Linked DNA regions of Caenorhabditis elegans. The protein of the gene in region 1 interacts with the protein of each later gene in a biochemical or structural test. Each region holds a gene or a part of one and is shown in the gene's direction. Other genes may lie near its edges.

What was found.
Region 2: the proteins of cpna-1 (region 1) and pat-6 interact in far-western blotting, tested with the Caenorhabditis elegans proteins (one study listed by BioGRID).
Region 3: the proteins of cpna-1 (region 1) and scpl-1 interact in far-western blotting, tested with the Caenorhabditis elegans proteins (one study listed by BioGRID).

The regions. Positions count from the first base shown.
Region 1 is NC_003280.10:4,184,613-4,188,367, forward strand, and holds the start of cpna-1 (Copine family protein 1), read left to right. Parts: upstream 1-2,063; coding exon 2,064-2,318; intron 2,319-2,359; coding exon 2,360-2,511; intron 2,512-2,855; coding exon 2,856-3,536; intron 3,537-3,597; coding exon 3,598-3,755. UniProt on the Caenorhabditis elegans protein: Involved in the assembly of dense bodies and M lines during body wall muscle development.
Region 2 is NC_003282.8:262,609-266,363, reverse strand, and holds the start of pat-6 (Paralyzed arrest at two-fold protein 6), read left to right. Parts: upstream 1-2,131; 5' UTR 2,132-2,139; coding exon 2,140-2,307; intron 2,308-2,352; coding exon 2,353-2,428; intron 2,429-2,473; coding exon 2,474-2,661; intron 2,662-2,721; coding exon 2,722-2,856; intron 2,857-3,403; coding exon 3,404-3,694; intron 3,695-3,749; coding exon 3,750-3,755. UniProt on the Caenorhabditis elegans protein: Involved in the regulation of cell adhesion and cytoskeleton organization. Component of an integrin containing attachment complex, which is required for muscle development and maintenance.
Region 3 is NC_003279.8:10,092,743-10,096,497, reverse strand, and holds the start of scpl-1 (CTD small phosphatase-like protein 1), read left to right. Parts: upstream 1-2,017; 5' UTR 2,018-2,074; coding exon 2,075-2,633; intron 2,634-2,720; coding exon 2,721-2,819; intron 2,820-3,719; exon of another isoform or gene 3,720-3,755. UniProt on the Caenorhabditis elegans protein: Phosphatase which may play a role in the egg laying muscles.

The DNA.
Region 1 (3,755 bases):
TCTACAAAAAATGCGGGAGTTGAGACGCTGACGTCACATTTTTTAACAAAAAACTCCCGCATTTTTGTAGATCAAACTGTGATGGGACAGTCTGAAACCACGTGTCAAACCTTGAACTATATTTTTATAGTTTAGCTGTTTTTGATAATCTAAAAAGTAATCAAGATATAATCTTTCAAAGTGGATTAATGCCAATTGATTGACGAAAATTTGGAAATTTTTCCTAATTTATTTTTCCAGTTTGAAGAGTTTAAAGCATAACTTCAGATATTTTCTGAAACGGTGAAAATTTACTTTTTTTCCTAGGTTTTGTCCAGATCTCTAGGAAGGTATACAAAATTCTGAAAGCAACATTTTTTTGCTCAAGATTTTTAAAAACTTTCTCTCGAATTTCGTAACTTTTTAATAACTTTTGTTAGAGAAAAATTTTCATTTTTATAAACTATATTTTTAGCTATATTTAAAATAGTGCACGTATTTTTTTCAAATTGAAATATTTTCATTTCCCATATCAATTCGGCTAGATGTGAAAGTATTTTTGAAAAATAGTTTTTTGTTTTGAAATTTCAACTTTAATATGATGAACTTTTTCTGTTAGAAAGTTTTCTGAACTATTTGAAAAATTAAAAAAAACCGTCCCAGAAAATATTTTTTAGTACAAACCAACATTAGTTTTGCTATGTTCTTAAAAGGGCTGTGAATACACCTTGCCCATGTGGTTTCAGGTTTTCCCATTACGCTTTGATCTACAAAAAATGCGGGAATTTTATGCTCAAAAATGTGACGTCAGCAAGTTCTGAACCTTGCGAACTCAGTTGAGATCTCTGCGTCTCAACTCCCGCATTTTTTGTAGATCTACGTAGATCAAACCGAAATGGGACAACCCACGTAATTGCCATCAAAATTTGGCACAATGTTCTCATTGCGAACGGTAGCTTTTAGGTTAGGATAACAATGATTTTTGGGATTTGTAAGATTTCAGGACTTTCGTCTGAAACATTTTCCCAATTTTCCTGCCAAGGGAAACTCCCAAAAGTTTTCTACAATTTTTGCAAATATTCTATTTTTTTCAACTACTGGAACACCGCCGTTCCGCATGTTTTTGGCGCTCAACAAATGTTGTTTTTTTCTTCCCTCAATATTTTCCATTTAATATCTTCCTCATTTTGTGTATCCCTTTCAACTACTACCACTCCACCCAAATCACAGAGAGTTGGTTGACAGCAAAAGAGTTCATGGCTTTTCACTGTTGTTTTGCCTCTTCTCTTCTTCACAAGTTTTGCCATCGCAGAGCCGCCAGCTTTCTGCCTCATCGTCGCGACTTGAGAGCCATTTTTTCCGTGTCCCCCGTCCCGTCCCTCAACTGCATTACATTGTAGAAGGGGACGGAAGCTGGTAACTTGAGCAAGGCTTTTCAAGTATAAAATGCAGAAAAAAATGACAAAAAGAGTTCTTTGTGCTGAAGAAAAGAGCACAAATTTTGAAGGTTTTGAATGATCAAAAGATCTTCGTCTTTTTTTTGGAATTTTGTTGAAAAATTGTTTGAATATTCATAATTTTTGTATTAATTGGCTCCAAGTAGGAAGCTTTAAAATTGGAAAAATTGGAACAAGTTGATTTTCAAAAATTTCGCTATTTTTTCACTGATTATTTTTAGGGCAGACACAAATTGATCTAGAGCTCATGTCCAGAAAAGAGGCATAGGCAGGCAAGTAGGCAGGCAGGCCACAAAAAAGCGTACTAGCCTATTGAAAAAAGCTTTTTCCAAAATTTTGAATCTTTATACCATTTTTTTGAGAAAGTTTCAGAACTTCTCATAACAAAATTCGGAAGTTTTGGGTTTTTGTGTCTAAAAAAGTAACATTTCAGATTTTGGTACTCTTTTAAGATTTTTAAAAAGTCTTCAAAAATTTCCAAATTTCTGAAATTCTCCAGTTTCTTTTTTATCTATTTGATCATCTAACTTCCATCAGCTGCTTCTAAACTATCAAAAATTTGTATTGTTTTAATTTTTGATCACCTTTATCCATTAGCTCAATTTCTCCATTTCCAGGCGAGTCGGTATGGTATTCGACGCGCGTCTCGGGTACGACCCGGACGAGTGGGAGGAATGCCCGGAGCCGGAGCATTTTCTCGTGTTCTCCGGCTTCACCCGCTACATGCTCACGTTTGCCGCCATAGCCTTCGTCTACTACTTCTTCAAACTTCTCGATGACAAGAATAAGAAGGAGTCAGGCGAGAAGGAAGAGCCACAAACTTCGGTAGAAAGCGTCCTGGCCAAGGCCGGTGACAAGCTTCATGATGTGAAAGAACAAGTGGTAGGTGTTGAGAATAGATCTTGAAAAAAAAGGAATTTCAGCAGCAACACATCCCAGAAAGCGCTGAAGAGCTGATGCGTGAAGCCGACCAATATCTGAAAGAACAAGCTCACTCAGTTCAAAATAACGTCCATCAGTTCGCTGAGCAGGCTGCAAATAAGTTCCCGAGCTTGGAGGTGGATTTGAATTTAGGGTAAGTGTGAGAACAAGAATCACATTTTCGGCATTAGGGAGCAGGTATGGAATAGGCAGGCCTGAAGTAGTTAGGTAGGCATGAACTAGGCAGGCAAACATAAGTCAAGCGTAGGCACGTAGTTAGACATGTTGGCAAGCAGGAATATGATAGGCACGTATATTCATTAGAAATGCACGTAGGCAGAGACACCTGGGTCAGGTATAGGCACGTTGCACATAGGGAGGCATGCATGAAAATGGCACGTAGGCAGGCAGGTATGGAGTAGGCATAGCTGCAACGCAGAAGTGTGGAAAGCCCGAAATAGGTATCACATAGGCATGTCAAAAATCTCAGATTTTCAGCCACCCCATCGACGCCACCAGAGAGAAGTTCGACACCGTGCTCTCTTCCGTCAACAATCACCTCCACGAGACAAAGAACATGGACCTGTCTCCAACATCCCGCGATTCCACCCAATTCGAGCAAATTCCATCTATTGCACCGGAAGAATCCGCATTCGGGCACGACTTTGAGCATGTTCCACCTCATCTCAAAACAGCTGCCGAGCAATATTATGCTCAGCAACACCAACCACCTCCGGTACCCCAACACAAAATCGTTCAACCGGTTCCGATATCTCCGACTGACCAGCAGCTGCTTCACGAGTTTGATATCTACGATGCTCCAGCTCATCAGCGGATGAATCAGATCTCCGAGCAACTTGGACAGCTTGGACAGAAGACCCCAGCTCAACTTCAACAGCTTCAACATGCTCAGTTAGCTCATCAGCAACTGCAACAGCAGGGAGTCTTCCAGCCAATCCAGCAACCATCACCACTGCAAATCCAGACACATCCACAGCAACCATACTTTGATTTCTCCCAACTGTCCCCAGCATCTCAAGCCCGTTACAACCAGCAGCAGTTCGTGGACATTTCTCAGCTGTCTCCCGGGGCTGGAGCTCTGATCGCTGAGCAACAAGCTTCAGGAGCATTCCAACCAGTAACAAAGAAGCTGGGAAGGGAGAAGCGGCTCAGTGAGCAGTGAGTTTTTTTTAATCTTAGTTTGGGTTTTCAATTTACAAAGAGCAAATTCAATTTCCAGAGACGAGCGAGCCCTTCAGGACTGGGAAAAGGAGAAGGCCCTTCTCGAAGCTGACCGTCTGAAGAAGCTTTTGGATCATGAAGTTGGAGGTGATTCGACAGACTTGGATTCGTCTCAAAAAGCCTATGATCACTTTGCACCAGCTTCTCACATCTCCT
Region 2 (3,755 bases), on another chromosome or scaffold:
CCAAAAAGAAAACTTCAATTCTCGAATGATCTTTTCCTATTTTATACTCAAATTCCTAGCAATATTTACTTAAGAATCTTCGTCCCACCTACATAACTAAGATTTGGCAAATATCAAAAGTTTGGTCAACAGGAAAATGTTCAAAATTGAGTTGGTGGTTAACAAATAACCTACACATTCTCCCGAAAAAGAATTCATTAAAGATCAATGGGCACGATTGAAAACATGGCAAAGTTTTATTGAAAAATGAAAAACAGGCAAATATTTGGCTGAAATCGCTCAGTTTTCAGAAAATATCCACACTTTGACTGAAAATGGTGTAGGAATTGATGTAATAACAAGAGACAACAATCGATGTGGTTCCGTTTTTACAAATCGAATTGTTGATAACAAAGAAAATAAGGGAGCGTTTTGAAAATGAAGGAACTGGTTTTTCGATTGTACGAGATACAATAGTTCTTGACACAGACACCTACAATTTGTTGATAACGAAGGATAGACGCATCGGGTTGATGATTAAACAAATTTGAAGGAAGTACACGAAATTTCAAAAATTTAAAGGTGGAGTAGCGTCAATGGGGATTTTGTCTAAATACGCTTATTATGATTTCAAACGACCGAATATCATAATAAAACTACAAAAATTTTTAGATTTTCCCTAATTTCGGTCAAAGTTTTGGCACATTACCAAAATTTTGACAAATATGAGCTTTTGAGGACATCCAAAGCAATGTCGCATATTCCGGTCTTTACAATGATTCAACAAAAATAATTGAAACAAAATTACAGTATAAAAAATGTAGGAAAAATAATTTTTTTTGGTCGACTTCCAAAATTATGAGTGGCAAAAACTGAATATTGAACACTTTTTGACAGTGAATAAAAATTTTTCAAAAAAGTTTTGAAAAGTTTTATTATGATTATTTGTCACTTTGGCACCATAGGAGTATTTTTTAACACTTACTCCATTGGCCCTACTCCACCTTTAATAATTTTCAGATTTCCTAATTTTCTAGATTGCATGCTAATTTTTACAATTACTAGTTCAATGTTTCTTAATCTGATTTCGGTTTAATGCAACTATTATCATACGCCAGGAAATCGAATGTACCGTACGTATAATCAATGTAACTGATGTGATTTTTCATAATTTTTTCCTAAAATTGTTTTTCAAAATTTTTTCAAAAATTGCTATGGAAAAAACTATTTTCAAAAGACCGACCTGTGGACCGACTGTACCGTATTTCCTCTATTAGTCTTGCACTCCTACAGACTAATTGAAAATCAGTCTTACAGCCTGTAATAGTCTAGCACCCCACTTTTTGTCATATTAGCAGAACTTTGTGGAAACGTAAGCAAATTTATCATTTTTGGAGTAAATCAAATGTAAAATCGTTCAAATAATTGATGTAATATTGGGAAAGTATGTATTTTTCATTGTTTGAACGGTCAAAATTGTATCACTTTCCAAAGTTCGAAAAATAGTTTTCAGTCTCTATTAGTCTTGCACCCCTAAAGACCAATTGAAAATTAGTCTCGCATGCAAGACTAATAGCGAAAATACGGTAAATGCAGAGTTGTTGTCTTTCTTAATTTATTTTTATTTTTATTTATTTGAATATTAGTTGTTATATGGACGTCCTTTTCTTTCTCAATACATATGCATATACAAATATTAACTTTCCGTTCTTCTTTCCTATTCCCATACATTTATATGTATCCCAAAGCCTTCTCTCTCCCCCACACACACCATTTATCTGCACCATCCTCTTTTCACCCAATCTCTCATTTGTCGTAAACTCTCCTTCCAACTCTACGTCTCTTATTGTTCCCAACACTCTCTCACTTTTTCAACACTGACGACGGCTGTTTTACACTATCTGCTGGCCTGGATGGGGACTTTTGTGTTGCTCTACGGAAAGAATCCTCCCACACAATATTTTTACTGCTATTTGAACATTGAATTATCGATTTTTCAAATTTAAATTTAAGTGCTTAAAGAGGAAATGTTCCAAAACAGAGTTTCATAATGAGACTTCAAAATTTTTTTAACTTATCAATATCTAATTGTACTTTATTTTTTATTATGAATCAACAAATATTTACCCCTTAATAATTTTAAACTTTTCAGCAATAACCATGTCAACACTTGGTCGTAGTAAGACCCCATCTCGTGACGAACCAAAAAAGCCTGGAGTCTTTGAGAAACTCTCTGGTACCCTTTCTCGAAAGAAGAAGGCGCCGGAAGATGAGCATGGAAACCAAGGGGGTGCACATCATGCTACTGATGAAGATGAAGTTTTGGAGGTTAGTTTTGCAAATTAATGGTTTTAGCAAATATAGATTTTTCAGCTTGAACTTGAAGGTCGTGAGGCTCTCGATCAGTCATTGGTCCCAGTTCTTGCAAGAAACATCTGGTTGGAAGAAGGTAAACGGTTTCACCAATATATTTATCCAATATATTTTTTTCCAGGAGAAATTCGTCGTTATCTGACTAAGGAAACAGCCCGCGATCAGAAGTTGGCACAAGTTGTCGATTTGCTGATCTACTGGCTTAATGAAGAGCTAGCTGATCAAAGAATTGTCGTTCGTCACTTGCAAGAAGATCTTTTCGATGGTCAAATCATCCAGAAGCTGTTGGAAAAGTTGGAGCAGATTCGAGTAAGTTATTGGTACAATTTCACAAATTGAATAAATTCTCCACTCACAGTTTTGTTACAGATCGAGGTTCCAGAAGTTTCGCAGTCAGAAGAAGGACAACGTCAAAAACTGCAAATTGTAGTTCAAACAGCCAATCGAATTCTCGGACAGCCAAGAGAACAAGAGAAATGGTCTGCGGATCTTATTCATCAAAAGGTACGCAAATCTTTGTCTGAATTGTTCATTTCTATCAGTCTTACATTTCATTGTGCAGATGTTTGACGCACTGTAGACAAAAGAGTTTCTCACTCGAAGCTGTTCCAAAAACTACCGTATATTCTATATTAGTATGATATGTTAATCTGTGGACACCTCCGCCACACAATACTATTCATCATTTACTATATATAAAGCGCTTATTCTGTGTGTCCATAGTTTGTAGTCTATGTAGTCTTTGTAGTCTGTGAAGTTTTGGCTTCTTGGGATAGTGAGTTGGGGTTAGTGTAGGGATATAGTCGAAGTACTGTATTGGCACAATAGTGGTACGGTAGGAATACTGTAGTTTCAGAAAAAATCAGTTTTCACCCCCAGGTCCACGGCTGGTAATCTATATAGAAATTCGTGAACTGCAATACTAATTTTCGAGGTGGTTTTTGGATGCAAAACTTATTGAGAATATACGATAGTTGAACGCAACAGTACTTTTCGAATAAACAGAGTTACTTTCCATATTTTATATTTTCTCATAAAAGAATATTCCCAGGACTTCACTGCCATCATCCAGCTCCTGGTGCTTCTTGCTCTTCACTACCGTGCTCCAGTTCGATTCCCAGATAACGTGGTTGCTAACGTTGTGGTGGCTCAAAAGGAACATGGTCAAGTGAAGACCCATCGAATTACTGAGCAAATCACTACAGTTCAAACTGAGTTGGCACCGAAGGGCACTCGTGACGCATTTGATACGCTTTTCGATTATGGACCCGATAAGTTGGCTCATGTGAAGACATCTTTGTTGGCTTTTTGTAATAAGCATTTGAATAAAATTAATCTGGAAGTAAGTTTATTCACTTCATTGTGCTACAAAGAAGCTGATATTTGTAAATTTTTAGGTGTCT
Region 3 (3,755 bases), on another chromosome or scaffold:
TCTCATAATTGTTCGTGCCTATGTATTTTAGAGTTTTTAAGTTTCATCAAAATCATATGGCTAATTCCTAGACCGGTCGTCATCAAATATTTAATATTCAGTTGTTTTTCAGTTATTCCATTATTATTATTATTATTATTATTGCTGAGCCAGGCTAAATAAATCTGATCCATGATATTTATTTTTGTCGCTTCCCTCCAATTTCCGTAGTCAAACATCATCAGCCGATAAATTGTTTTCTGTGCCTTCCCGCCGAACATACAGCAATTAGGGAAATTACATTGTCGAGCATGAAAGTTCTTTCATTTTTTCGCCCAATTTCTTATACATTCACTAGAGTTTCTTTCTTTTTTTGGAATAAAAAGTGTTTGTTGTTTTGCGGCGGCCACCAGACACGTTCAAAACAACAAATCTTGTGAGTTTTATTGCTTTTTGAATTTCTTTTAAGACGTTTCTGAGCAGATTTTGGATGTTTTTCGAAGGGAAATAGAATATGGAAAAATATTTAAATATCTAATTTTAAAGTACACACGAGGCACAATATTCTGAATTCTATTACCGTTAATCCGTTTCAAAAGGTTTCCTTGGTAACCGAGAGAAGCGATGTAATTCTTGTGAAAAACAATGGCATAGCTTTTTAGACCATAAGGTATTTTTGAATATTTTTCTGGAGACCCTTGACCTCTCTAAATATTTATTTTCCCATTTCCTGCTCCATCATGAATCGAGTCCATCAAAGGAAAAGCCATTTGAAGCGTGAAGAAAGTCGCCGTGAGAGCGACCTTGTTGAGTGACGCCTGCTCCTTTCTTTTGCTCCACGACATTTCCTTTCATCGTGGTCCTTATTTCTTTCTAAAAGCGTGTATATAAACTCTTATTATGATGATTGACGTCCACCTCATGCACCCGAATCTATTTTTATGTTCAGTAGCAGCTCTTTTGAGCTCTCTGGGCGTTGCTTTTCAAAAGCTCAACGTGATTGGCACATTGCCAACATGTGAGACCTGCCGCCGACTTCCGCGCCCTTCATGATCCGCCACTAATCGGTGAGCAAGTACTCGTTGAAGTGAGCAGCAAGTTTATATTACTTATGGTATATACACACACGTCGCGCCTTTACCCTCACGCGGCATACGGCATACGGCAATGCTTATTTGTTCTTTGTCAAGCACTTCTTTTGCACATTTTGGCAGCAGCGCGCACGGAAGGCGCCGCGTTCTTTGCAATAACCAGACTGTGCTCTGGGAGCAGCAGATGATTTAGGGGAAAGATACGAGAAAAGAGAAACAGAAAGAGAGTAGTTTGCGTGCTCATTTCAACAAGCACTTCACCTCTGCCCTCGGGATACCTCAGATAATTTGTGTTTCTGAAGAAGCTAGTTCTTCTTTTTCTTCTTCTTTGTTCTCTGCTCTTTTCACCTCTGAAACCCCTTGAATGTCAATGTTTCTAAAACCATTGAAATTAGATATGTTTGGGTTTTGCCCCGTTTATGCGTTGAAACGAACAAACATTCTATGTATCTTATGTGAGACAAGAAAACAGATTTAGTTCTCTCCAGAGACTCTCCCATCAAAACACACACCTGTCTGTTTTTTTTATTAGCCAACCACTTCCCCATAAATTCTTGCCATGGACTTTTCAACAATAACAAAATTGTTTCCTCATATTTTTATTATTTTTTCTTTCTCTCAATATGTCTAGAGTTTGGGCGGCAATTCTATTATTCGGAAATGAATAAAATTTTGAAAATTTGAAATTTGACAATAGTTATCGGAAAAAAGTTCCGATTACCAGAGATCAAAATCCTCATATTTTTAATAAGTTTTGATCATTAATTTTTTTGAATCATTTTTCTAAAAAATTCGAATTGTCGATTATCGAATTGATTTAAAAAAAACGATTTCCGCCCACTTCGTAATGTTTCAAATATTCTACTTCTTCAATTTTCTTATTAATCTCTATTTCTCTTCGAACATCAAACTTATCATATTCCAAAACCCCATTTCCTTATTTCAAGAAATATCTCGTCGATCCTCCATCATCCACCTTCTTCCCCAGTCATCATAATCATCGGATGACCTACGCTGAATCGACTCGATCCGCCGTCGTCTACTCGTCGATTGTGCCTCCACCACGTACTCCAGTTGGTCCGCCGATGTTGAAAGATGGCGTGCGGAAAGGATCCGCATCGCAACCACTTCAACCAAAAAACGGTGCCAACAGTTTGGACTATTGGAGTAAATCGGAAGATGAAAAGTCTGGAATAACGTGTTACTACAGTCGTCATAATATTCAATTTCCACCACCACAGAGGAAAATGAAACCTGTAAAACCAAATCCTGTGGGAAGGTCAACAATAAATGGATTCACACCATCGACATCATCACCACAAAATGGTCTTAGATATCCACCATTTCCACAGAATACACCAGAATCTGTGATGAGTCCTCCAGTTGGAATCTACCGTAATATTCCCGCAATGCCACGTGCAAAACTTACAAAAGATGAGAAAAATGGAGGGAAAATGAATCGAGATGGTGGAGGAGAAAACCCAAAAAATGTAGTTTGGGGTGGAACATCAAGAAAAGATGATGATACGGCTAGTACACCGTTAAATTCATTTTCAGCCAATGGTGAGATAACCGGGAATGTGAAAAGTTAATTTAAAAATAAACTGAATTGTTTTTTTTTTTGTAATTAATATTTTGTATCAGTTTCAGCATCAATCGAGAAAAAGCGATCAACAGCGAGAAGGAAACCAAGATGGGCACGCTGTTTTCAGACACTTTTCTGTTGTGTGACTCCACCCAGAGAGATTGGTATGTGATTTTTCATTTTAAAATTATCAAAATTCTTTTAAAAATTTGGGGTTATTTAAGTTATGTAGAATGCTCCAAGAGTTCACTAAAAAAAATTTAATTAAAAAAATGAATTTTCAATTTCTGAAGAGAAAATGGATGTAGTCTGAAATGATCCAATTTGACTACAAAAATTTATCTTTTTTCGGGAGTTTTCCTTCAATTTTGCAAATTTTTTTTCAAATTTCTGAATTATTTGTTAAATTGCCACCAAAAACGGTTACTGTAACTCAATAAATTTTTTTAAATAACATTATTTGTAAAAAAAATTTCCTGGAATTTCTGTATGCTTTTCACACTTTCCTATAACAAAATAGACTGAAAAAATTTTAAAAAATTGTTTTGTTTATTTTAAGCGACAAATTTTTGAAATTCCAGAAAAATTTAATATAAAGACATGTTAAAAATTTTTTTTTGAAAATTTCCACAAGAAAAAGCTAAAGAAAAAAAGGAAATTTGGTCTTGTTACAGTAACCAGTTTGTGCGAAAATTTGAAAGTTTTGCAAAAAAAAAGACAAAATTTTAAACACTTTATAGGCATATTCGATAATTTTAGACTATCTTCTATTATTTAACAATTGAAAAATGTTCTTAATCATAGAAAAGTTCAAAATTTCGAGTAATTAATAACGCCGCTTTTATGTTTTCTAGAAAACGAAATGAGTGTTTTCATCTTCATTTTTTCTTTATTTCTCTTTCTCTTCAGTGGTAGTGTTCCAGTTATTACACCAAATCTTCCATCTCTTTCATTTTTATCCATCAAAAACTTCAATCATCAGTCGGAAACCACCCCACGCTTCTGATTTCCCATTCTTGTGTGCATTTCAATATTTCAAAAAAAAAACTCATAATTTCTCCTTTACCCCGAAATTCGCCAATATTTTCCGATTTACGAAC